Linked DNA regions of Alligator mississippiensis. The protein of the gene in region 3 interacts with the protein of the main gene of each other region in a biochemical or structural test. Links are inferred from orthologs where the notes say so. Each region holds a gene or a part of one and is shown on either strand. Other genes may lie near its edges. The genes, in order: DUSP10, MBP, MAPK14 and MEF2A.

Region 1 (7,513 bases), on a different chromosome or scaffold from region 3:
TCCTTGCCTTCACGCTTGAGCGACTCCAGGACAATGTGGAGCGGCTGGGAAGGCATTACTCGGCTTGGCTCATTGGTATTCTCATCATAAACTATGATTTCTTTGGAAAAGATCCTCTTGAAGGAGTCCTTGCCTTCCCGACAGGAGATCAAGTCCAAGACAGTGATCTTGCCTTGTTGGAGCCTTCTTCTGCTGATCTTGTCAGAACAGTTAATATGAACGGCTCCTTGGATGTGACTTTTATTGTACTCCATGAATGGCCTGCAGTCAATGATGACAGGCCCTTGGTTCTGTTGGTGGCTCTTGGTGCATTTGGTCATCTTTTTAGCCAAGTCATTAGGATAGATTATTTTTATGCTAGCTAGTTGCTTGGTTGTGCCTGAGGCTGGGCTCCCCACACCGCCTGACGGACTCAAAGTGCCAATGTTCTCGTTATTGTTGACCATTTGGTTAGCAGGGCAAGGAGCAGAGGTTCCTACGTTGGTGGTGCTGCTGGTGCTTGCTTGAGTTTGGGCCTGATTGTCCTTATCGTACGTTGCCACAGTGCAGCAACTGGCGCTGCTGCATCCACAACTCAGGGAGCGAGCAGAGCCGTTGGATGAGGGCATATACGTGAGATTAGCCGCCTTTAGGGACACGACAGCTGTGCTGAGAAGACTTGCGTGGCTCTCACTGGCAGAGGCAGCAGATTCAAGGTAGCTAGAGTCTAAACAAAGGTTGAGATCCTGAGGTCTTACTGGCCTTGAAAGTGCCACCACTACCCTGTCGTCTAATGGAGATGGAGGCATGAGGAGGCTGAAAACTGGCAAGTCAAGAAGAACTCAAGATGTATCTGCAAGGGGAGAAAGGAAAGAGAGAGAAAGAAAAAAAAAAGATCACATGACACATACAGGGCCCAGCGATTTCGAGCAGCTAGTTCTGATAGTGATCAGCCCTGGCAAGAGTTATCAGCTCAGTGGGGCTCCCAAAGGGAACCCTATACTAATCCTGCAGCAAAAATCTCAGCTCTTTGCCTGGATGCAAAGGCGATGCAGAGCAGCCACAGGCTTAGCCAGCCTGGCTGCACCCCAGGAGGGAGCAGGCCCTTTGTGTGCACACCGAGCTGAGCTGTTCCTGGGGGCCACAAGGAACAGGCAGCTGAGTGATAAGGCTGAGTGAAGTGACTCCAGGACTCACAGAGGAAGGCACCGCAGCTCAGGCTGGCAGTGGAGGATGTGCAACTTTCCACACAGCCAAAATACAAGCAGGCTTTGCACAATCCCCTCTGAGCCCAGGCAGCCAGGAGAAGCAGAGGATGCTGTAGGTCGCGGTCCTGGAGGCAGCCTGCGCCTTGCACCCCTCTGCTCCCCTGGACAGATCCTCCAAGGTGCCTGCATGCCTTGAGAAACCCCTGGAGGCAGACTCCAGATACCAGGCTCCACACACAGCATCTCTATACCTTTAACCTCTCATCTACTGTTAACACCCCCCCCCCCAACCGACCTGCACTTGTGGGGCAGCTGAAGCCCCTGCTCCCAGTGCCTGTGACCCACAAGTGAACTGCATGCATTCAAGGGGGCGGGCACTTGGCACAGCGGTCCTTCCCTCCCAGCATTGCACTGCCCAGCTCCATGGAGTCCTGGCCCCTTGCTTCAGGTTCATGAGGCAGCAGGGAGGCCAGGAACCCCTCTTCCCTTCAAGCAAAAATCATTTCACAGGCTGCCTTGGAAGATTGTGTGTGTGTGGGGGGGGGATGCATGTGCCAATTGGGGGGGGGGGGGCTGTGGTGTGTATATGGTGCATGCCTGTGTGAAATGTGTTTCTCTGTGTGTGCCTGTGTGAAGTGTATACGCACGCCTGTGGTGTGTGCCTGTGTGAAGTGTGCGCGCGCCTGTGTGCTTGGGGGGGAGGTATCACCGTCACCCCCATCCATAAGTCAGCACTCCCCCGGCGGGGGCGGCGATCGCCCGGAGTTACCTGGACGGAACGACCCCCGCCCCCAGGACCTCCAGCACTTCACGGCTCTCCCCTCGCCCCCTCTTCAGTGGGGCTCCCCACCCCCCGCCTTGTATAACAAAGCCCTGCACATGCATACATAACACATGTAAAAAGCCCCCCGCCAAGCTACCGAATTAAAAACAACCGCCAACTTAGTTTTATTTCCAAACATGCATGAACGCGGCGAGACAGCCCCGCTCCCGCAGCGCAGTGTGCTCTGCTCCAGCCCCAGGTCGGGCAGCCCTGCCTGCGCCTCTGCAGCGGAGGGTCCTAGACACCCGGCCACGCCGTCAAGGCACAGCAGGGCACCCCGCGGCCAGGCCAAGTACCCCTCCCCGCCCACCCGGGACCTGGCACACAGGAAGGCGGCGGGGAGGGGAAGGTGGGGGGGGGGGTGAAGCAAGCAGCGACGCCCGGGGAAGTAGGCAGCACACACAGGCAGAGCTCTCCGCGTACTTTGGTCCCCGCCGCCTGACACACACTGCAGCACTCCCCTCGCCCCAGCACCGACAGGCGACACCCGGGGTCAGTCGGAAGAGACAGTCCAAAGCCCCCGCCGCTCTCGGCTCCTTCTGTCCTCCAGCACGGAGCTTGGCAGAGGCGGGGATCGATGTCCTTTCCTAGCACGGCACACAAGTCCTGCACGTACGTGTGCACACCCCCTCAACACACACACGTGTAAACATACACACACACGTTACACACATATACGAGCATACATACACACACGTCACACGTCTGCATATACACACACCGCATACCTGCATACACACACGTGTGTGCATACATGTACGTACACACACATATATACACATAAAGACACATGGATATGTGTGTATACATACACACATGTGTACATATGTGTGTCTACACACACGCAGATCCCAGTTGCCCTCCCCCGTGAGGCTAATGAAAGGCTCCTTGCACTTACTTCAGAAATCCGCCTGTCCCTGCAGCATCCGGCGCCGGCGGTAGCTAGTGACTGCGCGCTGAGCCCACCCCTGCCCTCGGCTCCATTGATCTACAGCTGCAACATAGTTACTTTCTCTTTTGCTACAGTGTAAATGTAAGGTTCGAAAGGGGCGGGGCGGGGGCGGACGAGCGGCGCCCGCGTCCAATGGGGGCCCGACACTGGTAGCGGGCGGGGCGGGGAGGGGCGGGGCCGGCCGGGCTTGGGGGCGTTCGCAGCCGCGGCTCTCTGGCCTCTAGTGTTCCAGCGCGGGGGGGCCGGGGGAGAGGGTGATGTCATTGGCAGCCAATCAAACGCTATCAAGAGCCAGCCGGAGCCAGAGAGGAGCAGCTGCTCTCTATTTACATGTGCGCGGGGCCCGGTGCGCTCGGTTCTGCCCCTGCCCGGGCCCAGCGCAGACGTTCGCGGCCCCCCCTCCCCCCGCAGGCTGCTTCTCCGCTCTGCCTCTACATCCTCACTCTATCCTTCCTCTGCCCCCTTCTCCGAGCTAGTCTCTCTCTCTCTCCCCCAGCGAAGCAGGAGTCCAGCTCCGGAGCTGGGCAAGAAGCCGGGCGGGAAGCGAGGGCCCCCTCGGAGCCAGCCCTCGGAGCTGCCGCGGTGAGTCCCGCTCCCTCCGGCCCAGGCGGCTGCGGGGAATGTCCAGCGCCGGCTCCGAGGCTGCAGGGACCCGGGCTCGCCCTGCTCGGAGGAGGCGGGAGAGAGGCAGGAGTCCCTGGGGCAGCCCTGAGGCACAGTGCACAGACCCCTGTCACCTGCTGGACACCTTCTGCTGCCCCCTCCCTGCTGCCACCAGGGTCCTTGTGTCCTGAAGGAGGCTTTAACCCTTCCCCCGGGCCCTCTTCACAGCCGGACACAGCCCAGCCTCCACCTTGCAAGGGAGCTGTAGTCTTCCGCAGCCTGAGCCCGGGGCACAACCCCTTGTTTAACCCGCACATCCAGGCCCGTGCTGAGCACCCCTGCCGTGCCCCTCCGGCTTCCACCCCCAGCACCACAGGAGGCACATAGTCCTGGTGCTAAAGCCCAGCATAACCCTCCCTTCCCCCCAGCAGTTTTCCTTAGGATTTACAAGGGCAGGCAGTAGCCTGCCTCCACCCCCAGCAGGGAGGGAGTACAATGAGCTTGGGGCCTGGCCAGGATCCTGTCTTTTTTTTTTCTCTCCCCCCACCCCCCCCCCCCCCCCCCCGGGTATTATTGTTCCAAGGCTAATAGGGACAGAGGCAATGGGATCCCAGCTGCAGTTGTTGCAGGCTGTCCTAATGCCCAGTAATAAGTTATGGGAAGAGATCAAGCCATAAGTTGAGAGATGATCTAATATTTAATAAAACTCAGTCAGACCCCTTTGGAGACCCGAATCACTGTTGGTGCTGAACAGCCTCCTAGCTGGAAAGCAGGCTTGTCAATTATTTTAAAAGGCTAGGATTTCACTTCCCCTTTCATTGGTCTCGCTAGTCACATGGCAGTGATAGTTTGATTCAGAAGAGAGGAACAACTTTCACATTCATTGTGGGATGGGGGGTTTTTTTGGTTTGTGTTTTTTTGGGGGTTTTTTTGTTGTTGTTTTGTTTTTTGATTCAGAAAGACCCAGCCCCGCTTTACAGATTTATAAGTACTGCACAGCTCCAGGAGTCACCTCACCCACCACTGGAAGACAGCCACAGGCCAGAACAGAGCACGATAGAAGTGTAACAGGGTTAAACAAGGATGGTAAGATAGGAAGCAAAGGACACGGCATGTAATTGAAGATGTGTGGGAGACACCAAAGTCAGTAGGATGTAGTTACCTGGATTGGAGTTTGCCTGAAACTGTTGAAACAAGCTACAGCAGAGTGCTGAAAGAAAAAAGCAATGCTTTCAGTGCATTTCAGTATCTCAAAAATGCTTCCAACAGTCAGCACTAGAAAATTGGTATCAGCACTAGAAAATTGCATTGCTGCCAACCACTGGGGTGCAGAGAAGGCACATTTGAAGGAGCAGCTGTGCAAGGGTCACCCCTCAAAGTCAGGTGTATTCAGTGGTGGTTGCTGTAGCCTAGTGATAGCTTCAGTCCCACCATCATCGCGTCAAAAGCATTTGTTCTGAAAGAACCTGTTCAGGAAGAAATAAGCCTTCACTAATCCAATCACTAGTGCCATTGCCAGTGGAAACAAGGGTTAGGCTGTTTGACCGTTGTATCCTCTCCCTCTATTTTGAGTTAGTTTAGTGACTAGGGTGGTAAGAATGTCCAAATTATTTCAAGATTAAGTCACAGCCACTGCTACCAGTATTGGAGCTGACTGCAGGGGAAGAGGGAAAGGCGGGGAGGGGGGAATGAAGCACCCCAGTCAACAAGCATTGTAGATGCTTATAAACTGTACACGTGCTGTAGATAGTAGTTCTAATACATGTGGCATATGCAGGCTTTTCACATCTAGGGTGGTGTATTCAAAACATCTCTATGTCCAAATTATACTTAAGCACATAAGTTTTGCAAGTGCTAGGATTAGTGTCAATAACTGGGAGAAAAATACCCATGGCAAATTGCTACTGCAGGGGTGCATATTGATGATCTGGAAAAATCAGACCACTGCCTCTTGCAAAAAGTGGTAAAGCACTGTTTATGGTCTCCCAGTAAGTCAGGAACCTAATTGTGTATCATATGCAACAGACAACATATCCAAAAGCTCATAGCTCCTAAATGCTAGGGCACTGGGTCAATGCTGCCCTAAAGAGAGAGTCACCCACTGAGGCTCCAGGAGCAAGGTGAATCAATATTCAGCAAACAAGCCAACCAACACCAAAAAGCCTTGTGTGGTACATATACTAACTAACACATGGAATGTCTCTTTTTAGATACGTTACCTAATAATCCTGTTCAAAAAAAATAATCAAGCTCTAGTACAAGCAATGTCAAGTGGAAAAGCAATAACTCCCGTGAAAGGAAGCTATAAATCATACAGAGCACAGCACAAGGTCCAAATACAGCACAGGGCATGCTAGGTCTGTAAGTTTCTGCATGCTGTACTTCCATATTAAAGAGGAGGACAGCTGCAACCTGCTCCATGTTATGGAAATTAGAATCATCCCTCAGGCTTCTGGCATGTTGCCGGTGTGTGCTCAGTTGGGCTTTGGGTTCTTCTGGCCTAAATTAGAATATCCTAGGTAAAAGGAGGACAAAGTAAGCTGCAGGAAAAAGTTTCAGAGATAAATTATCAGAGGAGAGAAAAGGATGAAAGAGAGTTAGACTTCATGGTAATATATTCAGACTCACAAGATGATATAAAAATACTGGTTTCTCTTCCTTTTTCCATGTGTACCACACAGCAAAATTAATGTCAATATCTGAGCTGCAAGGATCCTACTGATCAGGCTATGGGAGGGCATTTAGCAGTGATAAGAGTTCTTAAAATTCTCCCCCTTCCCATGCATGAAATCTTGTATTTTCTAGCTTGCAGTTAGTATGAGCAATAATATCCCACAGTGCATCATTTCACATTGGAAATACTGGATGTCTTGTTGCCACCCAGACAATCCAATGAAGTGACCGAACAATGGATCCTAAAATATCTTCACTGATCATAAAAAGTACCGAAGGATTTCCAGGTAGAACCTTCCATCTGAAGCCCTTTGATTTTTCTGGTATTAGGACAGGAATGATATTGTCAATTTGAAACACTGAATCCAAACCAATATTCTATAGGTTTTGGTTCTGGGTAGATTCTGAAGGGCCTGCTTTTCAGCTGCATTCCAGGTGTGACTTAAGATGGTAAATGTTTCCTGAGAACATTTAGTAAAGGAAAAAAAAGAATCTCTTCTCAGCAATCTGGAGCCCCCAAAATTTCACAAGAACAGGTGACAATGCTGAGCAATTAAACACGTGATTCTGTCTATCTATAAGCTTAAGACAAGCCTAGGCATAAGCAAGATCCAGATCCAAGCACCACTTCACTCTACCCCTGCTCTCTCCTGAGCCTTCAAGTTAGTGGATACATCCAGCATAGTCCTGTATTTTTACTTTTGGTTTGCAGCTCTTACAGCAGCAGTCCCATGCCACTGGGAACAAACAGCTGGTGCTTATATCAGACATCCAAAAATCTTTGCCCCTGAACTGTCAGCTTTCCACTGAGAGCAACTGCATCTGGCACTGTGTTCTAGGCAAATGCTCAGACCAAACGATTGAGAGAATAGACTAAAAATCTTTGTTTTGCATCAGAAAATGCAGCAGCCCTGTTTGGAGACAGAATGCTTTAAAAGATATAGGTTATTTATGAAAACCATTATATACAAGCATATACTACAGAGATACAGTTATAGTAATAATTCCTGTCCCATCCAAGAGGATATATTTGAAGTAGGGAGGGGAATGCTGGTGCTTTCCCAGAATTGCCATAAAGCACTGTTTGATCCTTTTGACATGGAAATGTCAGACTCCACTCAGATTTGATTTTCCTTCCCCTTTCTTGCTTAAGATCATCAGTGAACAATTGATGCTGCTGCATACTCGTCTATATTCAACTTGGCTCTGAATTATTTCTCATTAGATTGCAATGTTTATGATTTCTTTTCTTCCACAATAAACTACTGACTACAA
Region 2 (7,128 bases), on a different chromosome or scaffold from region 3:
CATGTTTGCACACCTAATATTGCCAGAGGCACCCTTTAAAAGGGTCTCAAGGCACTACACTGTGCCACCGCATCCTGGTTGAGAATCATGGCGGCGTGTGGGTGTGTATCACATATATATGCAGGGGTGGATGGGGAGGGAAAGATGGGTTGCGCTGGTGCACTTGCACCCCGCTTTGATTCCTGCTGCACCCAAACTTTAAAACCACCTGCCTGTCTGACAATGGCAGCAGCATTTCTAGTCAGGCAGTCCTAACAGTCACTTGACTTCCTGGCTCATTGTAATGTACCTGATCCCTTCTAAACTCTTCATTCCACAGGTGTTAAGAACCCTCCCTTCTTTTTTAATGGCCCTGATGTTCCACCAATCAAGCTAGCCTTTGTTCTGCCATTGTGCTGTCTGTTTGCTGCTCTTGGTCATGAAGTTTCTACTCTACAGAGCTGCAGATAGTATTTAATTCATTCCAATTAAGTTCTGTTGGTTTTTGTTTCAAGCTTAAACAGCATCATACAGCCTTAGGCCCCTGGTGGATCAATAAAGCTTCTAGTTTCTGTTTAACTGGAGAAAAATGTGTCTCGTTTTATGCGTGATGATGCACTCACTGGGGGCACCCCCCTTTTCAAAATTCTAAAGCAGTGGTTTTCAGCCTTTTTTTTTCCATTTGTGAACTCTTAACAAATTTTGAATGGAGATGCAGACCCCTCTGAATGATAAGTGTGAACATGTACATCCTTTTGGTTGATTACAGACATCTTTTGTGGACTCCCTAAACATAGTCTGCCACCCCCCCCCCCACAGGGCTCCATGGACCACAGGTTGAAAACTACTGCTCTAGACCCACCTCTGTGTGTGTGTGTGTGTGTGTGTGTGTGTGTGTGTGTGTGTGTGTGTGTGCGCATATACATGTGCATGCATGCACAGATACATACATGTGTGTATACATGCATGTCTAGACATGTGAACATGTGTATATTTGTAAAGGGGGTCACAATTTTGCCCTTTATTACTACAAGTAAGAGGAACCTAGAGTCCACTAAAATTTAATCAGGCTACAACTACACCAAATATAAAGATAAAACAAGAGAAACAGATAATGGAACTGTGCATGTAGATGTGCATACATACATGTGTGTATACAGACGTGTACTGATCTTAGCTGGGGCTGGTCCCGCCTGGAGCAGCGGGTAGGTCTAGATCAGAGTTTCTCAACCCATGGGTTGTGACCTAAAAGTGGGTTGCAAGAATATATGAACGGTTCCCGAACAAACTTTAAAAACGGATTTTCCTTTAAAGGAGAAAAACATGGGAAACTGGGGCTTTTCCCTTGCAGGCTGACAGAGTTCCAGCCTGCAAAGGGCTGCTTGTGCCCCCTATGCCCCATGCACGGGGACTGGGGGCGGGGGAACGGCAGGTTGGGAATGAAGGGCACTGGGTTGGGATTGGCTATGGATGTTTACAACTGGATCTTGGTACAAAAGAGGTAGAGCACCAGTGGACTAGTCACCCTCCTGAGGGTCCTTCCCACCTTCCTTTTCTACGCTAGTAGCTACATCTGCACGCAGGTGCTACTGCTGCTCCATCAATAGCTGAACACAAGAGATCACTCTTTAAAACACCCACGTCCTAGCACTATACAGGCAGTCCTCTGCTTAAGAAGTTTCGAGTTGCAATGAATGGCACTTAGGACGTTTATAAATTGACACCCTGTTTTGACTTTCTGATGTTAGTTTCGACTTTACGACGCTTCATCCGATGCCACACCACACCAGCGAGCGTTTGCTGCATTGCTTATCTCCCTGGAGAACATCTGTCCAAACTTCCTTGAGCACTTTCTTTAAGAAAGCAGACAAGACTCCAGAAAAACCTGCAGTCAAGACTTGTGAGAAGACTCCAGCCAAAAACCCTTCAAAAAGTCTGGCAAAGTCACCTCAAAGAAGTCCTTCCAAATCAATATGATTGCTATGTACCATATAAATACATTAATGTAGCTATATTACTCATCTATAATTGATAGAGTACAAAATTCTGCGTTACTTTTGGTGAAAATAGGGTATCAGGCCTTGGTTCAGGAACCAATCCCCCCATGAACGCTGCATGCCCCGGAGGCTGGGGGTGCCTGGCGACTGCCTGCTGGCAGTGGCAACAATGTCAGTGGCAGGAAGGAGCACCTGCAGATGCCACTGGCAGCCTTGGCAGCAGCCAGCAGCAATCGGGAACCGCCTGCAGATGCCCCGGTGGTGTTGGCAGCAAGGGGGGAGGGTGGTGAGCAGCGACAGCCTGCAAGTGCCGCTGGCAGCATCCGCGGCACTTTTTGCAGAGGGTGCACTGCCATGCTCAGGGGGTGCACATGCACCTGCGTGCCCCACCCTTACACGTCACCAACGTATAACATTGTTCCTACGGGAAAATCGGTCCCGACTTACGACGTTTCCATTTAAGACGCAGCTTTCGGGAACCAACCGTGCCCTAATTCCGAGGACCTTCTGCAGTAAGTGCCTGGGCGTCGTGACCATCCTGGTCACTCCGATGGAAACCAGGATGGAAACACGACAGGGCATCTGTCACAACAACTGCCCTGAACAAGGAACAACAGCGACACCGACAAGAGCCACGACAAGTCCTGGCAGCGACCCCGCCCCCGGCCCCCGAGCGCCGCTGCCCCGGCCAGGTGCGGGCGGAGCGCGGGGAACCCGGAAGGCCGCGTCCTTCGCCCGCCGCGGGGCCGGCACCTGCCTCCTGGGGGGCTGGCGCGGGGCCGGGGCCGGGGCCGGGGCCGCGCTGGCACACACGCACGCACACACGCTTGCACACGCCGTGGCGGGGGGGCCGCCTCGACGGCGGGACAGACTGACAGACAGACAGACCGCACCGTACCGCGGCCGCCGGGGCTCGCTCGGGGCTCCTGCAGCATCCAGCGGCGCGGTCCCGCCACGCCCGGGCTACGCGCAGGGGGCTCCCGGCGCCGCCGCTGCCCAGGTAGCAGCGGCAGCAGCAGCAGCAGCGCCCGGGCCGCGGCTTCCTGCTCCCGCGGCTGCAGCGCGTCCGCCCGCGGCCGTGGGCGGGTGTCACGGGAGGGTGGGGCCGCCGCCCGCTCCCAACCAGGAAGCGGCAGCCGCGCGCGGGCGGCGGGATTGGGGGCACAGCTGGAGCCCCCCCGGCTCCGGCAGAGTTGGGGTTGCTATAGCTGAGGGATTGCAGCCCCTCCCCTCCCCACAGGGGACTTCCCACCTCTCCCGCAAACAGGTGAGCCCCCCCTCACTGCTTTGCAGTCTGCAAATGCCTTGCCAGGCGGGCACCGAGTTGTTTTGTTCCCCCGGCACCTGCTTCTTGCCCCCGCGTGGGAACAGACCTGACAGGAGGGTCCCATTACACTTCCAGCCTTTGTGCGGGCGGAGAAGAATTTGGAAATCTGAATTGGGAATGGTTAAATGCCAACCCCCCCCCTTACTTCCTTTTCACATGCTCTAGGTTGGCAGTCCTGTCTGTCCGCCTCGCATGTGTTTCTGCTGTATGCAGCAAATGAGGTTCTTTCTGAATTGCAGCTGTGAAAAAAAAGCAAGGTGACACTCCTTTGGCTGTGGTTTTTTTGGGGGGGGGTTGTTTTTTGGGGGTTTTTTTTCCCCTGCTTTGGGTGTCTTTTTTCCTCTTGGTTTTATCCTTATCAGATGGAGGCTTAGGGCAGCTGACCAGCCCACCAGGTCCATCGTTTTTAGTGGCGCACATGCACAGATCACTATCAATCTTGTTTAACAGAACAAGTACTAATGCTTCTGTGAAAATACATCTTATCACTGTGGTCCTGCTGAAGAACTAGGTCAACTCATTCTCCTTTACCAATTACATGACTTCTATGATATACACATGCGCGCGCACGCACACACACACAGGTGCACATGTTTAGGGAGGGGAGAAGGAGTTTTATAAAGCTTTCTGAATTGGACTGAACCCCGTCCTCTCAGTGATGAGATATGTGCTTGCGCATTTTCACCGAAGCCAAGACTACTCATTGTGAGTGAATAATAGGAGTAAAGGGAGTCACAATTTTGCCTTTTATTACTACAAGTAAAAGGAACCTAGAGTATGCTAAAAATTAATCAGACTACAACCAAATATGAAGATAAAACAGAGAACCAGACAATAGAGCTGTGAGGAAGTAGGGGAGGAATTAAAAAATGGGAAGTGTCATAAGCATTAATAGTTTAAAATCCTGGGCATTTTATATTTAGATCACGCATGGTGCATCCACACACGTGCTTTACTGAAGAGTTGACTACTTAGTTCCACACTAAAGCACCACAGTCTACATGTGTGCCAGTATTGGCACAGTAAACTAATTAACTCTGCTGTAGGATAATACTATCCCTGACAGTACTATACAGTGGCAGTGTACTTTACTGTGCTGAAATGCATGTAAACAGTGACAGCGGGTATAAATTGCCCCTTGTCAGGGTCAGCCCAGCCAGCCAGGGGCCTGCTTTGCCCCAGCTCAAATTGCTGCTGTCCTGGGAGCATGTGTAGACACTGCGCCCAGGAGCAGTTCACTCTGGCTTGAAGTGCTCCAGAGTTTTATTGGTCACATTAATTGCATGTGTAGATGCACCCAAAGAATACTACTTTGACTAAAGGGAAAAAAAACCCAACACTAGACTCCTGTTCCAATATTATGAGTGTATAAAAAAATGTTGATAAGGGGTTTGGCAGGCCACAATCTTGCAAAAACTTATGTATGCGTTTACCTTTTTATGGTAGGGTGATATTGTAGCCATGTGTCCAGGACAAATATGAGAAGTAAAGTTTTTTGTGGGTGATATCTTTATTGGACAAACTAGGGATATAGTTGGGAGGGATATAAACAGGTTTTGGGTACCAAGTGCCCTTCCTCAGGGTGCTGAGGAAAAAGCAGACACAGAAAAAGCAGATACAATCGGTCCAATAAAAGATATCACCCACAACAATCCTTTCCTCTTTACTACTTTATACTTTGTAAAACAAACAAACTTTGTTTATCAACTTTAAAAAGTAACAGTGCATTGAATGTTCATTTTGGATGCTCATCTCCACTCTCCATAGGTTTCTAGATTCTTTAACAAACAAACAAAAAAGTTGTGTAAGTGGGCTTAAGCAAAACTGGATCCAAATATCAGCAACCTGCTGCCTCAGAAATCACAATATTCAAAAACAACCCACAGGAAATAAAATCTGGTCCCAATTCTGCAAATATTCATGCTTCTGTGCAATTTTGTGCTTGAGTAAACTCACTGAACTCGGTGAGGTCATTTGTAGGATAAGTTGTAGAAGAACATGCATATTTGCTGTATCAGGGCCTCAGAAGGAAAAACATGTAAAGTGAGTTCCACATGCCTAGGAATGAGAAGTCAGAATGATGCTATAAACCAGCTTTCAGGTAAGAGAGATTTATTTTGCTGAAGGTGATTATCATCACTCTGAGTTGTAAAACCATGCCATATTCAGTAACAACACTCTTATGTACCTCTCTTGCACTTTATAGCCTAGATACCTTTCTCCTTCTTTCAGTGTTTTTCATTTTTTTATGACTGATTTAAAAAAAATGTTTAGGACCTCATTCTTGAATGACTAAATAGGTAGTTCCCTTAGCATCCCAGATTTAGTCCCCTGAGGAAAGCATCTCAGCTGAGTGTTTGCAGGACTGAGTCCACATATTGTAATAAGGCCTCTTACAGTCTTATCACACAATAATATATAATAACCATTATATTATCAGAATCATATTTAACTTATTATAATACATAATTATTTTAACTAACAATATTGCCAATCCTCCAAGGTCTCCATCTAAAAAGAATGCACCCGTGTTCAGCAGCCATCTCTGTTCTGTGTCTGGTCGGTCTGCAAAGCAAGATTCATTTCCTCATTTATTTCCTCTCGTTGTATGTAAAATAGTATCAAAAATAGCATTAAGCCTTTCAAATACTATTTGTTCCCTAAGCTTAGTATCCTTAATTAACTGTATAGTAAAGACACTCCAACCCAGTACAAAGTGTTCCATTGTGCAAATCCAAGAAAGGAGAGATTGGAATGGAAAGAGAGTGGCATTTGCAAATAAAGTACTAAAATGTACTAAAATTGAAAGTGTAATAACAATACTAAGAAAGAGTTGACCTGGTTCTTCAGCAGGACCATAGTGATAAGATTTATTTGGCAAATAATAACTCAGATATGTGTCTCATCATGACTAATTACATATCATAAAAACTCAAAGAATGATTTAATTAAAATTCACAGAGATGCTACTGATTATAGACCAAAGAATAGTCTCTCATCTTAAAGTAATTGAGGGGCCAGGAGGAGGGAAAGACTTGATGACTATCACTCAGTGAATGTCTGTCAATGCAAAATCAAGGACATAAAGCTGCACTTACAAAGAAAACCACATAGGCCAAATTTGATTTCGTGTAAGCTTTGCCCTGTGATAATTTTACTGACTTACAATGGCAATGCTTCTGATTCACATGGTTATGTATAAAGATATTGACCATTGTTCAGTTGTAGTGCTACAAAATGGCTTGGCACTTTGTAGCACTGCAAAAATGCACAGGTGTTCCAAGCCACTGGCTGGAGAGCTATGAAGGCCAGCTCTCCAGCAAGGGGTTGATAAACCCCTGTTTTGCTCTCCCTGCCCCCTGGGTAGCCCAACTGTTAACAGCCTGTCCACTTCTGTGCTTAGAAAGGTGGTGAGCAGTGCATGATCAGCATTTCCAGACACCCCCTCCCCGCACCCCCTCCCTTACAGGGATGGTAGGGGCAGTAAAGAACTGCTGTCTTCACCTCTGCCACCCCAATAGTACAACTACCAGAGCCCCTGCTCTTGCAGTGGTAACAGGGATGCCCTAATCCCCCCCCGCGCAAATTCTCTACCACCTTCCAGGGGAGTAAGCAGACAGCAGGAGGAAGATATAGGGTTAAGGTAAGGGAATTTCTGTTCCTGCATGAAGAGTGGCGGAGCTCTATCTGAGACTATTCAGGCAATGGTAGGAAATATGAGGGGCGTGGGGGGGGGAGGGGCTTCAGGCTGTGCAGCGCCACCCTGCTTGGGCTCTGTCAAGTGATTGGTGGACCCCAGGAAGGGTCTACAGCTATGTGGTCAAC
Region 3 (7,224 bases):
CAGGTGTGGTGCAGGCACCTACCCTGGAGATCTTCAAGAGGAGACTGGATGCACACCTTGCTGGGGTTACTTGACCCCAGCAGTCTTTCCTGCCCAGAGCAGGGGGGCTGGACCCAATGATCTCATGAGGTCCCTTCCAGCCCTAAACTACTGTGAATACTGTACTGTGTGTATCTGGATATATATGCTATATACGAGCCATGTTACAAGATTCTTGTGCATCTGCTTAAATTCCTCCTGAAACTGAATGAAGCTTTAGACATATTCTAGAACAAATTAAAACATATTTGACTGTGAAGTTCCCAAAAACTTTGGGCAAAAGCCGACTACAAGAAAAAGACACTGCTTGTAAAGCCTTGCATTCATAATGCCTGTGCAACACTATGCCCATCTAGTGCAAAACCCGTTTTGAGTACTGACCGTTTCAAAGTGCTGAAACATCTATAACACACTTTTCTTAGCTTGGAACTAATTGAAACCATGCTATCTACAATTAGTTCTCCCCCACATGGGAGGGAAATTACTAGTGTTGTAGCAGCATCAATTCCATTTTACAACCTTGCAGGAAGTTATTCAAAATCCCCTCTTCCAAACTGTCAGGGCTTTATGAGAGAGGTACTTCAGCAACCCCAGAATGAATTCGTGTAGACTAAACCACAGGGTTGTGTCAAGAATATTGAAACTGTTGTACGATCAAATGAAATATGTATTCCATCCAACAGATACAACAGCAAATGATTATTTGCTGAGTGTAAGAAACATTTCTGTCTACATCAGTTTCTCAGTTCCTAAAAGTTTGAGCCTCCACCCCGTATCTCTGCATCTTAATTTCCATTTCTTAAATTAAAGCTGTCTCCTAAAAACAACTGAGATGTCTACCTGCACCATCTCCTAAATAAATGATGTTATACTTTGGAAAATATGGTCTTCATGATTTGCTGATGCAATTATTTATGTTTGAAAAAGTCTTCTCTCTATGAGACTTAATATTCCTCCTGTTTAAACTCCCTCTACCCCCAGCTCCCACCCACCCATTCACATCCTCCCTGGTACATACCCCTATAGTGATATATCTTAGTATATTCTGCTTATTTCACTACCTCAATTTAACACTGCAGGAGAATCTCCTGGCTTTGCTGTTGTAACCTTAATCTGTTCCAATTATATCTTAAATACAACATACTTCGTAGTGATGACAGATTGGAAAAGAAAATGAGCCAAGAAGGAGCAAGTCTGTAGAAACAGACATGAACTTTGATTAGTAGCAAAGTGCCATCAAATTTTATAAGATAAACTACACTATTCAAACCAAGTACAGCAAAAAGCAGCGGGGACAGACCTATTTTCTCCCTTTTCTATAGGAAAAAAATTACTATAAGACATACAGAAAGACACAGTAGATATGTCTACTAGACTCCAGTCTGTTTGAAACTGCTTTCAATAAAAAATAGGTTCTTCTGCTACTGAAAGGCAGTTGCACAATCTTTGAAAGCTTTGACACTGCAAAACAGGAAATTCATGATGCAAATCCTTACGTTGTTAGCAGTGGAAAGAAGCATTTGGAAGCAATACTTAGAGTCTGGAAAACACAATCTGGAACAGGAGGAGGGATTTTGAAAGGGTTGTTCTTAAAAATAAAGTCAGACGGTCAGGAAGCATGCTCATTTTCCCCCCATTATAATCCAAGAGGGTTGAGCACATTCAGCACCTCAGGAGGACTCATGAACTAGGGAGGTCAGGCCTCTGGTCTGCTGCAACTAAACTCAGCTTTTCAACGATAACAGTTCCAAGAGCACATTCAGTTATTCAAACTACTAACTCCTTTATACACGGCAGGGGACAAATACTCATCTCCTTGTGACACAGCAGTTTTAGGAAATAGGTGTTATTTGAATGGAACTTGCAGACAGTTTTATCATTCAAATGAACACGTTGCTGTCAAAAAAAACAGAACCAACAGACAGCTTTTTTTTTTTTTTTTTTAAAGCTACAACGTGTAAAGATTCACAGAAGTTTAGGGCTGGAAGGGACATCATGCGATCATCAGGTCCAGCCCCTTGATCTGGGCAGGAAAGACTGCTGGGGTCGTGTAACCCCAGCAAAAGAAAATCATTTCTATTTGCATTTGGGGACTATGGCTCTGGCATTAACTGATCATGGGTTGCGTATTTAAGATGATTTGGCGCACAGGACGCTTTGGATAGGAACAACCCTGCCTCAGGCAGGGCGGGTTAGACTAGACAAGTCCTCTGGAGGTCTCCAGCCTGACTTCTACCATGAGTATTTTGCATGAATGCAGTGACAGGTGCGTCCTGGCTGCACCCACCGGCCCATCAGGTGCTGGAGCACTGCAGGCACCGAGAAACCCATTACAGTGTTACCAATATTTCTACACCTAAAAGGCTCTGCTGCTACCTGACCCCAGCTGTTCAAACCACCGGGTTTGAAATGCACGCTGACATCATTTCACAGCAGCAGGACACGCTGTCGGGATTGAAGAGCGCACGGGACAGTTTGCATAGGCGTGATCTGATCTGCATCTAAATGACCTCTGCAGCCCCAATGCTTCAGGCACCAAACTCCCCTTGTCCCCGCAGCCCGAGGCCTTTGGGCCACCGCGGTCCCCCATCCAAGCGCGCACCGGGCCCGACCCTGCTTAGCTTGGCGGGCACTCACCACACGGAGCCGTAGGCGCCGGAGCCCACCGGCGACAGGTTCTGGTAGCGCTCGGGCACCTCCCACACCGTCTTGTTCAGCTCCTGCCGGTAGAACTTGGGCCGCTCCTGAGACATCGCGGCGGCGGCGGCGCCGGGCCGGGCCGGGCGGGGGGGGTCCCGCGCGCGGCCCCCCCTCCCGTCCCCTCCCGAGCCGGCGGGGGGGCTCCTCCCTCGCGCGCGGGGCGGGGGGGCCGCAGGAGGCGGGGGCAGGGGGCTCCTCGAGCAGGTAGAGGCGGCTGCAGGCGCTGACGGCAACCGCGGAGCAACGTAACCACCCACCCCCCGCCCCCCTCCCGCTCCGCCAGTGGCACAGCCCGGCCGAGACTCCAGTGGGTCTCGCGAGAGTTGTGGCAGCGGGGACGGGGATGACCCAATATGGAACCAGCGCGGGGGCGGTCTCGCGAGAGCTGGGCGGGGGGGGGGCGCCGCGGCGCGTGTGGTTGCAGGAGCAAAATCAGCTAAAGAAACCCCGAGCGGGAATAACCTTCGCTGAGGCTTTTGCACGGAGCCGTCACGGCCAGGGGACAGAAGCGATCTCTCATTGGACCAAGAAGATTTTTTTTGCAAAAAAAGGAAAAAAAAATCTTTAATTGCAGACTTTCATTGCAAACTTTAATTGCAAGTTCTTTCATTGCAAACTTTCAGGCACAAACCCACATCAGGCATCAGAGAAAAGATTGGAAAAGTTCTCCCGGGTAGAAATGAAAGTTCGTATTTCACAGGATTTTATGGAGGGGTCAATAGATGGAAAACTCAGGGCAGTGGTTCATAGCTGTTAAGGACAGGTCTCCTGTGAGGATCTGTGATGATGCGAATTACCTTGAAACAAAGGCAGGAGCAGGGTCTCACGTTTCAGGCGGTTGCAGTTGCTTCCAGCTTGGGAAAATATGAAGATTTCATTTAAAAAATCAGCTAAAATTCAACATATTCCATGCGTCCGGTATCCAGGTTTAGGCCTGTATGAAAGGTGTTTCTCTGATGCCTGATAAAGGGTGTTTGTGCCTGAAAGCTTGCAATTAAACCAACAAGATCTTTGCAAAAAAAATCTTAATAAAAGACATCACTTCTGTCCACGGACCCTGATTGCTTTTTCCTCTAGACCAATACAGCTACCAACTGGATACCTGACGCATTTGCACAGAAGCAGATTTAGGAGAGCCCGAGTCCCAGTTTGGTGTGACCATGTCCTTCCTTTTAATGCCGATTTGGCCTCTAGTGTCCATCTGAAAGACCTGCAATGACAGTTGTCCCCCAGGTGGATTTCCCAGTGTGTCCTGGGCCTGGGCCCCCATTGCATGCACCTTCTGCACTATTAATATTTTAGGGAAGTGGAATATCTGTGTTTGTCCGCATTGCACGAGGCATGCTGCCAAAGCAGATGTGGATATACTTAACTTGAAGCATGTGTTTCAGGTAATTAGATTAAACCAACTGGCTTTAAATCAGCACTTCAAGTAAAGCATGTCCTAATAAGCAGTGCTGAAGTTGAGCCTGAATTAAAATAAGAAGAAGAAAGTAAAGAGATGAGCAATGGTCAACCAACAAATAACCAGTGTTTAGTGGGGTTTGAATTTAGGACCGTGGACCGTGCTATACTTCACCTGAGGCGTGAGGTCAAGCCTCCGCTTCTCCCTGAGACAGGAATAGTGATATTTGTGTGGTATTTGCCCCATCCAGCGCAATTTGATCGTGATCCCACCCAAGCCACATCCCTGGTGTTAGAGTTTGGCTTTGTGGGACTGAAGTCTGCTCCCCTGAGAAGTTATAAGTAGGGAGGAGGTTGGATCTCGCCTGTCCTGCCACTTGCAATGTGCGCGCAAGCCAAGTCTAACTACCCCGCGCAGTTCAAATGGTCAGCAGCAGCAATCCCTTGATTCGAGGCCGATCTCTACCATGCCTCATCACTGGGTCTTCAGGTGACTTAAGAGTCCAATCATGGAGCCACGGGACCCATCCGCCGATGTTGCAGATCTTTCTTCAGGGGGAATCGGCTGTAGGTTGGGGCTCCTCTCCTTCTCCTGTCTCCGCTCTCTCTTCTCTGCTTAGACGGGCAGACGCTTTACCTCGAGCGGGCTGCCGCTTGGTTGAGGTTGCAGCACCTTTGGGGTCACTTAGCAGCCAGCTCCCAGCTCTTGATGTGGGCCTCCATGTTCTTGAACGTGTCCTCAAAACATTTCCTCTGGCTGCCATGAGAGCTCAAGCTGGGAGCAGAGCGCTTGTTTTGGGGGTGGGACACCCGTGCGCAACTTCCAGTCCGGCGAAGTTGCTTTCACGCCGTGCTGGCAACGCTGGCTGGAGCCAGGAAGCTGGCGTCTGCGCCGCGACCTTCCCGTTTGCCGCGCAGGATCCTTGGCAATGCCTCTCCAGGCTCTTGGGAGCCGTCCCTCGCGTTGCACGCCCGTCGAGGAGAGCGGGTAGACCTGGGACTCGGCTCTTGTCCCACCTGGGGCAGAAGTGGAAGGGGGGGGAGTCAGACGCCCTCCCTCGGGGGTGGATCAGCCGCAGTTTCCTCCAAGAGGGGGACCCGACCCGGCGCCCTCCTGGGGTGGGAGCCTTCCAGAAAGATCCTCCACCCCTCCCCCCGGGCTGGCAGTTGGCCGAGCCACGGCTTTGAGGGGACGGCCGTGCCAGCGCCTGCCATTGCGCTGCCGTGGGCAGGGTGGGCAGCCTGCCTGGGACGGCCCCAGCGGCTGAGGGGCGAGGGGCAGAGGGAGGCCTGGAGGAAAGAGGGAGGAAAAAAAGGAGGCGGAGAAAGCCATGGGAAGGAGGGGCTCACGGGATGGGAAGGAGAGCGAGAGGCTCAGCGGCATGGCTGGGGCACTGCTCTCGCAGGCCCTAGAGATCAACGCAGGGCTAGCAGGATCGCATCCCGCCCCGACGTGACCAGGCGGTGCCGCAGGCCGCATCGGGGTTGCTGCTTGCACTTAGCAGATAGAGGATTTCCAGCTGCCAGAGCCTAATTTAACTCTGCGGATTGTGTGGGGCGGCCCCGGGCGTCGATTACCGACCCTGGCGCCCGGTCGGTTCAGTCGGTGTAACTATCTGAAGAGTCATTTCAGGTCCGTGACCCTCTTTCCTCTCTTTAGCATCGCAGACGAGAGCTTTCATTTTGCTTGCCGGCATTCGGGGTTCCCGTGCCTTCGGACGTCCGAGACCGGATGGAGCCAGACAGTCATCCCTTCGGTCCGCACAGGCAATCAAGGAGCTACCACATCAATCGGGGTCTGCGCACTGAAGACCACTTTGAGAGAACCTACGAAAGACACGAGCCCCTGCCCAAGAACAGGGATTTCAAAATCTTTCAAGTCCAACGAAGGAAGGTCCAATGCAGGTGAGTTGTTTTCTGGAAATCTGTGAAAAAGCTGAGGGGCTCTGTCAGGTGCTGTCCTTCTGCTGCTACTTGTCAATGCAAAACCAGAAGTTTGTAATAACAGCTGAAATCAAATAGTCGCTACAGAGCTCCATGCCTGGGGAGTGGGAGGCGAAGCTCAGCACAGCGCTACAGCCGACAGTCCACGCCGGTCTCTGTCCATTATGAACGTCTGTCTCAGACTTGTCATCAGCCCAAGGTTTTGTGCGTGATGAGGAGGAACCGTGCCAATTGTTTCAGGGCTTCCCGCCACCCAAGTTGCTAGATACAAGGTTACGTCTGCTTTTCCGCTTTGTAGATTTTGCTATTTTGGTTGCTTAAATTCTCCAGATACCATTTTCGGTTCCCTCTTCGTAGGACCGAGAGGCTGGCTGGCTTTCCTGCAGGACTGACAAAAATTGCTCTCACCCAGGAGTGACTGTCAGACGTGCTTGGCCCCCAGGCCACATCCTGACAGCAGGGCTCCTCTCGGGCTAGAACCAGCCAGCAAGAAATCTTCTGGGTCGGATTTGAACCCAGCTCCAGTGGCAAGGCGAGCAGTGGGCAAGCAGTGGTGGGGTGAGCAGTGCTGTATCAGATTAGGGAGCTGGGAGGTTAATGCAGCCCTTACTGAAACACATCCCCAACAGAGCTCCATACCCTGATATTTTTATGGTGGGCCTTGCCTCCACTTACCCTACATCTGTGGCTCCTGGAGAAGATCACAAGGCTTCTCCAGGAGCCACACGGACTTGGTGACACAGCTCTGTGGCCTGGATTTGGTCTGTGGGCTGTATCTTTGATACCCTCTTTCTAACCCATTTGCCCGCCCTTTATTCTTTGAAAAGAATGGGAAAGTTGAACCCTCACAAATTCTCTTTGGAACATTGGCTCTTGGGATTAGGGTGTCTCTCCTGTTATAAACCATCCGTCTATGGTGAGTTCCCAACAGCGTGCACCAGATAGCAGCGTTTTTTAACAGAGAATGTCCCCTGTTCTTCCATCAGGGAAAGCATAACCAGTTAAAGTTTGGGAGCCACTTTATCAGTTTCCCTTTTAATTTGGTTTGATGCTGCTGGCACCTAGCTTGAGCTGTCCCTGAGTTATGTTCATGTCCACTTAATTTCTGGCTTTATTTGGATGTACTACATCTTCATC
Region 4 (7,560 bases), on a different chromosome or scaffold from region 3:
TCAGGTATTTCACATAACACTCATACCCTATCTTTACTAACAAAAAGCTAAATTGTTTTCCAAATAAGCTTAATTTAAACAGTTATGAAGCCTAAACAGTACTATCCTAAACTATTTTCATAACTGTTGCAGCATTCTCCAGCTGTGTTTTGTAATACATGGCATGACTGGACAAGGCAGGGCAGCAAACATAACTCCTGACATCATTTACACTGACTTGCATGGCATTACTATTTGGAAACAGCACTCAGCTTACTAAACTTTATTTTATTTATTGTAGGGCTACATGGGAATCTTGAATAACCTGGTTCTGGACTAACCCAGAAGAGGTCTGCTGTCCACACTGGAGTTTTAAGATAAACCACATTTGAAACTAATGCAGTATCACAGTTGAAAGAAAGTTGTTAAATAAGTTAAGAATCCTGCTGCAACAAACCAGCTTGTCTTAATAATAAAGACAAAAATACTTTCCCAAAAAATTTAAAAATGTATAATAAGGTCAATAACTTAATGAACTTGCATAATAAGCTCCTCTCTTAAGCCACCTCACCTAGAATGTTCATTAGCATCACAAACATCTTTCATTATTTCACCCTTCTTCCTCATACACTTGAGTAATCCCATTATTCTACAGCACCTTATATCCAGCAATCCTGAACGCTTTAAATCATTAAATCTCACTTTATAAAAAGAGCGCGTGAGGAATCATAGTGATTTAGGTACATGCTTAAAGCAGGCAGAGAGACAAGCAAAAGCACAGTTCTAATATGAACCAAATTGCTTGTATTGCAATGATACAGCCAATTACTCCCCTATCTTAAGTGGAACAACAAGTTGGAAATGGCCCAAAAGACCTACTACCCTGGTTCCTAGCCCATGATTTCTGCATAGCCTGTGAAAACCTACAAGACTGCTCATATGCACAGGAAATCAAAGAGTTAACATGAAAGTTGACAGGAAGAGCAAAGATTTATGTTGTGCACAGCACATTATTTGCTTAATATCATTGCCCATGGCACCATGAAGGTTGGGGAGCACTAACACTGTTTCTCCCTGAAAATGCACAATTGTGGTCTAATCTTAAATTTTCCCTCATTGCTCCCAATTGAACCCATCACTTTACACTAAAAGATCTTTCTACTTAGCTGGTAACGCCACTCTGCAAGTAGCAGAAGACTGATGTCCCTTTATCAAACCTTCATCTTTACTTAACTAATTGCATGTTTTCTTCTTTTTACTTTCTCCGTAATTAATTTCCCTCAATCCCTTTGGCCAAGGTGCTCTTTTTCCTCTTAATTCCCTTTCTAATAACTAATGTTCTGAGCCAAACATAACACACTTCTTATGCCTTTCTGGTTCCCTGCTTAGGATTCAACAATTTTTAAATACACTGCTATTTTAGTTATACCAATGATGTGTCTAAAATCATTCTGAAACCCCAGATTACAAATATATACATATACACATAAAACACACACAAACCCCCCACTGGCCTGTATTATTGTTCAATTTATATTGTGTCTCAAAAGTATTAGTTTAAAAAAAAAAAAAGTGTAAAATTTATGCTAGGTTTAGATATGTTCTACAATTTACATGCTGAAAAAAAACAACCAAAGTCACTCCTCTCTCCCAGACCCCCAAAATAACTCTTTTTTTAAAAGGCTGGTACAGTGGCAGGCAAGAGAACCAATCTGACCTATAAAAATAAGCATTCCCAACCCTGCAGATCCCATTTTAAAATGAAGCTGCATAAAAAGAAATAGCACATCGGTGTTAGGACCATTGCTCTGTCTCCTTTACACGTTGCTTAAACACCTGCCAAAATGCCATCGATAGCAAAACAACAGGCTCGCTCAGATGCCCAGCACCACAGCTGGACTCGACGCGGTGAAAGCGCTCCTGTGCAATACCCACCAACCAAGGAGAGCAGGAAGCCAACGACTCACTTTCTGCCAGTACTAGAAGCTTAGCAAAACACCCAAAAAGAAAAAAAGCGTAAAGATAACAGCCGTACACAATACCCGTTCCTGTGCCAGAGCAGATCTTTGTTTATAATAATCTCTCAGGCTGCTCAAGGCTTATCCTGCTCCGTTACCCCTATCTACTTCTCGACATGCTTTCTTCCTTATCTCCCTTTTCTGGCAGGGATTTGTGACATGTCCCAGTCGGTCCCCGCTCGGCGGCGGCGGGACGAACCGTTTTGCTCCCTGGGAGCCTTCGTTTGCTGCGGGAAACTCCCGTTTCCGTGCCGCGACTCGCACCTTTCCGAGACAAAAACGAGCGCACGCCCAACCCCTGCGGGGCGGCCAGCCCTGCCCTTCTCGCCTCTCCACGGCAGGTCAAAACCACGCCGGGACGGGGGGTTTTCAGCCGCTCGAGGGGAGCTCCCCAAAATACGGCTCCTTGCTGACCTCTCTCTCTTTCTCTCCGCTCCCGGGCACGGCCGGCGAATCTGGACACCTCTCCTGTATGCAGGGGGGGGTAAAAAAGATCCTCTAGGTGACACACACGTTCGCAAACGTTACCGTGCAGCGGGTGCGAAAACTAGGCGACAACTCCTACCCGCCCCCCCGCCCCCCGAAATATGACCCTCACGCGGCATCCCGCGGGCTCATCTGCACGGCGGGGGATGAAAAAGGCACCCCCCCCCTTTTTTTGGGTGGAGAAAAGTTGGTGCCCCCACCCCTCACAAAAGAAACCCACCCCCCCAGCCCCCTCCCCACACTGGCCTGCTCCAGACGCCTCCATGCGCGCGCAGGAAGTTGCAGGCAGGCCCCAGCACCCCGCAGGATGAGGCCCCCCGCGGGGGCTCGCCCCTCCCCCCGTGACACCCCACACTCACCGCGCGGCTGCTCCCAGACTCCCGGGGAGACACTGCCGCCCGCGCACGGATCCCCGCCGGGACCTATTTTGGGGAAACAGGGTCCAGGCGGGGCCGGAACTACTTCCTCTGTCACACACAGTCGGCGGAAGGATACTTGGTGTCTCCTTCCGCCCGTCTCGGGGACGCGCAGGCCGCTTCCGCGAGGCGGCAGAGGATGGGAAAGGGCGGAAGGAGGTCCTCCGCGCTCGGCTAAAAGCGGCCGGAGCGGGAATAAGTATTCACAGCGCCCCACACCTCCCCGCACTATTTTGTTTGGTACCAGGGAGCGGCCGGGTCTACATTCTTCATGCGAAAGCTGCGCGACGTGATAGGGCGGCGAGGGGGAGTGAAGGCAGGGAGCAGCCAATCCGCGAAAGAGGGGGTGGGATAAAGCGAAAGCGCCAGCCACTTAGGAAACAAGTGATGGGCGGGGAGTGACAGCGAGGGATGGCCAATCAGAGAAAGGGGGTGGAAAGCCTCGACCAATAGGAACTACGTTCTCCCAAAGGCCTGCTCCGCGCCTCCCTCCCACGGCGTATGCGCGCAGTGGCTGACGTAAGCGCTCGGGTTCGGAGACCAGGCGGGAATTCGCGCATGCGCTCTTGGTGCCTCCCGCCTGGTAGAGCCCAGCCCCTGCCCTTGCCCCTGGAGGAGGCTGCAGCCTGGCATCTCCCCATTGTCTCTCCCTGCCCTAGAGCAAGCGTATTATTTAGACCTGCTCCCAGGCAAAATAAATGGAAAGGTGTGAGCGCTATGCACAGTTAGCGCTATGCACGGTGCATGGTTAACAGCCCAAAGGTTGCACGTTTGAAGCCATAGTACCAAGTCCCAGCACAGGCATGGGCAAACCAGCCCGAAAATGGTTAAAATTAGTATTATTTTCGTCTGTGGCCATACTAAAAATTTGCTGGGAGCTTAGGTGCGGTGCGGCTGTGTCAGAGTCTCTGCTAAAGACCTTATTGCAAGGACGCAAAAGAGGAAAAAATGCAAAATGAATTGCCAGCAACAGCCAAATTGGGCTGGTTAACAAGGAGGGCCTGGCTAAGGAGCTCTTGCTGCCTGGCTGGTGCAGGCCTGTGTCGGACTTCACCCCGCTGACATGTAGCTGGACCAGCAGGAGTTTCCCCTTCATTATGGTGCCCTCCCCCCAAGCCTGGCTCTAAGAAGTTAGAGAAAGAGCCTGGCTGCTCAACTCCAAGGGCATGCCCTTGAGCTAAAGGAAAATTTGCTTAACTAGGACTAGCGGAAGGCCTCTCCCTGGGTCTGATGCTGGAGGATAACAGGACATGTTTCATAGTTGGTGGTGGCTGGAAGGAGGGTCCACGTGCACAAGGGCCTGTGCAGTTACCACATACAAATGGTCGTGGCCTTCTTGGCTATACGAACTCACTTCTGCTTTCCACAGCCACAAATACAGAAAAGAAAAAAAGCGGGGGAATAATCAATGTTCCTTTTTGCTGCAAGACAGTAAAAGAGGGAACTAATGCACCCAGCATTTGCAGCAGTCGCTTGCTTATCACAACTCAAGACCTGGGTTAATGTAAACTCCCGCTCCTCTTGCTGGCTTGGGTAAGTAATGCTTCGCTAGGACCCCTCCCTCGCTGTTCACTTCCATGCACCATTCCTCACCAAAGGATGTTTTGGCATTTATTTTCTCTCCAAAAAAAAAAGGTTCCTTACAAATAATGACATCAGTTTTCTGTCTTTGATATCTTTGTCAAGGGAAAATGCTAAGAGAGGGACACTAAAAGGATTTTTAAAGGATAAGAAGTTACTTACCAAGAAAGAGATTTGAAGCAAAAATGATCACCCCTATGAAGCTTCATTGCAAGGTAGCAAGCCCCGGATCATGGCCATGTCACAAAAATTAGCTATTGGGAAGGGGTGCTTCTTTTGTAACTGAAAATGAGAGGATATTTCGATTACTAACTATCGTTAACTAAATAACTATAACTAATCAGAGTAGGAAAAAGGAAAGAAGCAAATGAGGGAAGTATGTTCAGGGCAGCACTGGAGAACAAAAGCAAGACCTACCTCGGCAATTTCCCCCTTTCCCACCCAAAAATTGTAAATAGCAACTGTCTTATTAGGTGTGCTTTAGCTCAGAGGGAGAAAGTCCTGGATTAGGATTTATAACAGAAGCATTACCGAACATTTAATTAATGTGAAACTGTGTCAAGTAACCTCAACCACCAATAAAATGGAACATGGATTGTGGAGGGCAAGCTAAACGAACAGGTATATAACATTACTTCCAGTTTAATCAAGAGAATGGTAGGATGTTGTGTAGGGAACATAAGGAAACTGCCAAATACATACAAGTGTCATATTTGAAGACTTTTACATAATCATCAGGAAAACACTTAGGCAAGGAAGTCATGTATCTTTCTCAACATGTTCATCTTGACGAGTAACAAAGTCAAATGTAATTAATGTTAATTCAGATATAAAATGTATTTACTATTTATGAAAAAAAAACTTGCAATTAATACCTTGAAATCCTTTTAAAAGAGAACATGGTAAGAGTCAGTGGGCCAAATCTTGCATTCCTTATTCAGGCCTTGATTTGTAGTCAATGGGTATGCTTGAATAACTTAGTAAGGGCTTCTGAATGTATCCGTTAATATGATTCAGCATTGAAAAGAAATCATAGTCAAAGTGAAAAAGATAGAAAAGAATCCAAGACTAATTGGTTCTTTCTAACAGTATTAGGGGTACAGATACAACATTTGTTATCCAAGTATCTTTATATGCCCTGTCAAGAGCTGAAAATCACAAGTAAGGGATATAGAGAAGGAGTTCTCGTTTACTACTGAAACATGCTCACATCTGTGTCAAAAACATAACGCAAAAGAACAATTTAGGAAAAAAATGAAAAATATAGTTTCCAACAGAAACTACAGATGTTTTTTTCTGTACCTAAAGATTTACTTCTACAGCTACTGCCACAACCCTGACCTTTAGGCTAAAGACAGACATTGCACTTGTCCCTGGACTAGTTGTGCTTATGTTTATCCCAGAACAGAAATATGCTGGGATTGGAACGTACTCACCCTTCTAATCAGGGTTTAGTGAGCAGTTCAATTCACTGCTTTTTTCGGCTATTGAATCAATGATACAATCCTGGAATAACCATCCAGATGCACTTTGCGATGTCTCGGGATATACTGCGAGGATTTCTTATTCCATTAACCTTTTTTAGGCTGTATACTGAGACAACAGGCACGGAAATGAAAGAAACTAAAACCTCTGAGCGAGCTGTAAGCCTTGTTTTATGCTTACTTTAATTTCCAGAAAGGCTTCAAAAGGTAGCCCCGAGCAGAATGCAGTGGAGTAATCCAAAGTGAAGGAGAGGAAGGCATAGATAATCAAGGCACTACCCACATCAACCTGCTTAGACAGATGCAAATAGTAACAAAAAACTTCTGGCTACTGCATCCGCATAAGAAACCAGTAGTAGATAGAAACTGAATCTGAAATGCACATTCTTTTGTAATGGTGGGTAAATCAACCAGCCAGCACTTCTTCATGCACCCCCGGCCTAACATTACTACCTTGTTGTCTACCCTCCACCAAATCTGAACTGCTCCTTTTCTTTATGTTCAGCATTAACCAGGAAACTAGAGAAACTTTAGCCACTGGATCTAATTGTACAGCACCCCAGAGTCTGTCACCTTTTCCACAGAAAGAGCAATGGACTAAAGCTCACAGGATATCACAAAGTGTGCCTGTATGTCTAGTGAGTAATTATCGAATTAGCACTTACAATCACTCTTTGGTCAAGAGAGAGAGAATCACTAAATGCAGTTCCATCCACCACACTCCAGGCTTCTCTCACAGATTACCAAAACTGACAGACAGTGGCATCAAAGATCACAGATGGACCAAGAAGAACTGCTGAAACACCCCTCCCATTGACTCTGAAGACCATTGTGATTTCTGCACTACATGTACAAATATGAACAAAGAACTAGCAACACCATACAGGAAAACCATGGACAGAAAAACACAATTTCAGGCCTCATTTTAAGTAGATACAGTCTTTTGGCTGAATTTCCATTAATGTTGTCCACCTGGGTCTACTCCATTAGAGGTTTTCAGGAGTTTGGGGTGCCTATAAATAAGCTATCCTCACCAACCCCAATTAAGCCTTGACCCACATCTAAAAGCAAGCATGACTGTGGCAGCCTCTTATGTCATCTCTAGAACATCGTGGCATTTTAGTTCCTTCGTATTGTATTCCCATACAACACCTCTCCGTTTCTAGCTCTTCATTAACGTGCCTCATGTCACTTGTTTAAAAAACAAAACAAAACCTAGGAACTGCAAAACTGTGAGGAATGAAAGGGTGCATGGCTTTGGGCGTTTGTCACAATGCAGGGGGGAAATGTAATTTAAAATGTTCTGAAAGATACACAGGAGGATAAACGCAACCTATGAAACAAGGTTTCTTCAATGCAGAGGCCAAATTTATTCTTGGTGTAACTTCACCTAAATTGGTAGAGATAATAAATAAGGACTTTTACAAAGGGTATGTTTGCTGAAAGAAAAACTCTACCCACAGTATTTCCCGCTGGGAAATACTGCTTTATTACTTGACATTACAAAGTGAGGAAGAGAACTCAAACTTACAAAAAAAGGAAGTAAGGGCGGGATGGAGAATGACTCCATGCCATTGTTACTCAGTAGGCATGTCT

What was found.
Region 1: the proteins of MAPK14 (region 3) and DUSP10 form a complex in vitro, tested with the Homo sapiens proteins (2 studies listed by BioGRID, with this or other methods). The link is inferred for Alligator mississippiensis from reciprocal best matches to the Homo sapiens genes MAPK14 and DUSP10.
Region 2: of the proteins of MAPK14 (region 3) and MBP, one has a biochemical effect on the other in vitro, tested with the Homo sapiens proteins (4 studies listed by BioGRID). The link is inferred for Alligator mississippiensis from reciprocal best matches to the Homo sapiens genes MAPK14 and MBP.
Region 4: of the proteins of MAPK14 (region 3) and MEF2A, one has a biochemical effect on the other in vitro, tested with the Homo sapiens proteins (2 studies listed by BioGRID). The link is inferred for Alligator mississippiensis from reciprocal best matches to the Homo sapiens genes MAPK14 and MEF2A.

Annotation. Positions count from the first base shown.
Region 1 is NC_081824.1:182,923,911-182,931,423, reverse strand, and holds the start of DUSP10 (dual specificity protein phosphatase 10), read right to left. Parts: upstream 3,022-7,513; 5' UTR 2,909-3,021; intron 833-2,908; 5' UTR 789-832; coding exon 1-788. UniProt on the Homo sapiens protein: Protein phosphatase involved in the inactivation of MAP kinases. Has a specificity for the MAPK11/MAPK12/MAPK13/MAPK14 subfamily. It preferably dephosphorylates p38.
Region 2 is NC_081826.1:110,529,071-110,536,198, forward strand, and holds the start of MBP (myelin basic protein), read right to left. Parts: upstream 3,013-7,128; 5' UTR 2,875-3,012; intron 1-2,874. UniProt on the Homo sapiens protein: The classic group of MBP isoforms (isoform 4-isoform 14) are with PLP the most abundant protein components of the myelin membrane in the CNS. They have a role in both its formation and stabilization.
Region 3 is NC_081837.1:36,165,019-36,172,242, forward strand, and holds the start of MAPK14 (mitogen-activated protein kinase 14), read right to left. Parts: upstream 3,009-7,224; 5' UTR 2,793-3,008; coding exon 2,677-2,792; intron 1-2,676. Other genes in the region: SLC26A8 (testis anion transporter 1), read left to right, coding at 5,876-6,048. UniProt on the Homo sapiens protein: Serine/threonine kinase which acts as an essential component of the MAP kinase signal transduction pathway.
Region 4 is NC_081834.1:7,960,522-7,968,081, forward strand, and holds the start of MEF2A (myocyte-specific enhancer factor 2A), read right to left. Parts: upstream 3,014-7,560; 5' UTR 2,843-3,013; intron 2,466-2,842; exon of another isoform or gene 2,412-2,465; intron 1-2,411. UniProt on the Homo sapiens protein: Transcriptional activator which binds specifically to the MEF2 element, 5'-YTA[AT](4)TAR-3', found in numerous muscle-specific genes. Also involved in the activation of numerous growth factor- and stress-induced genes.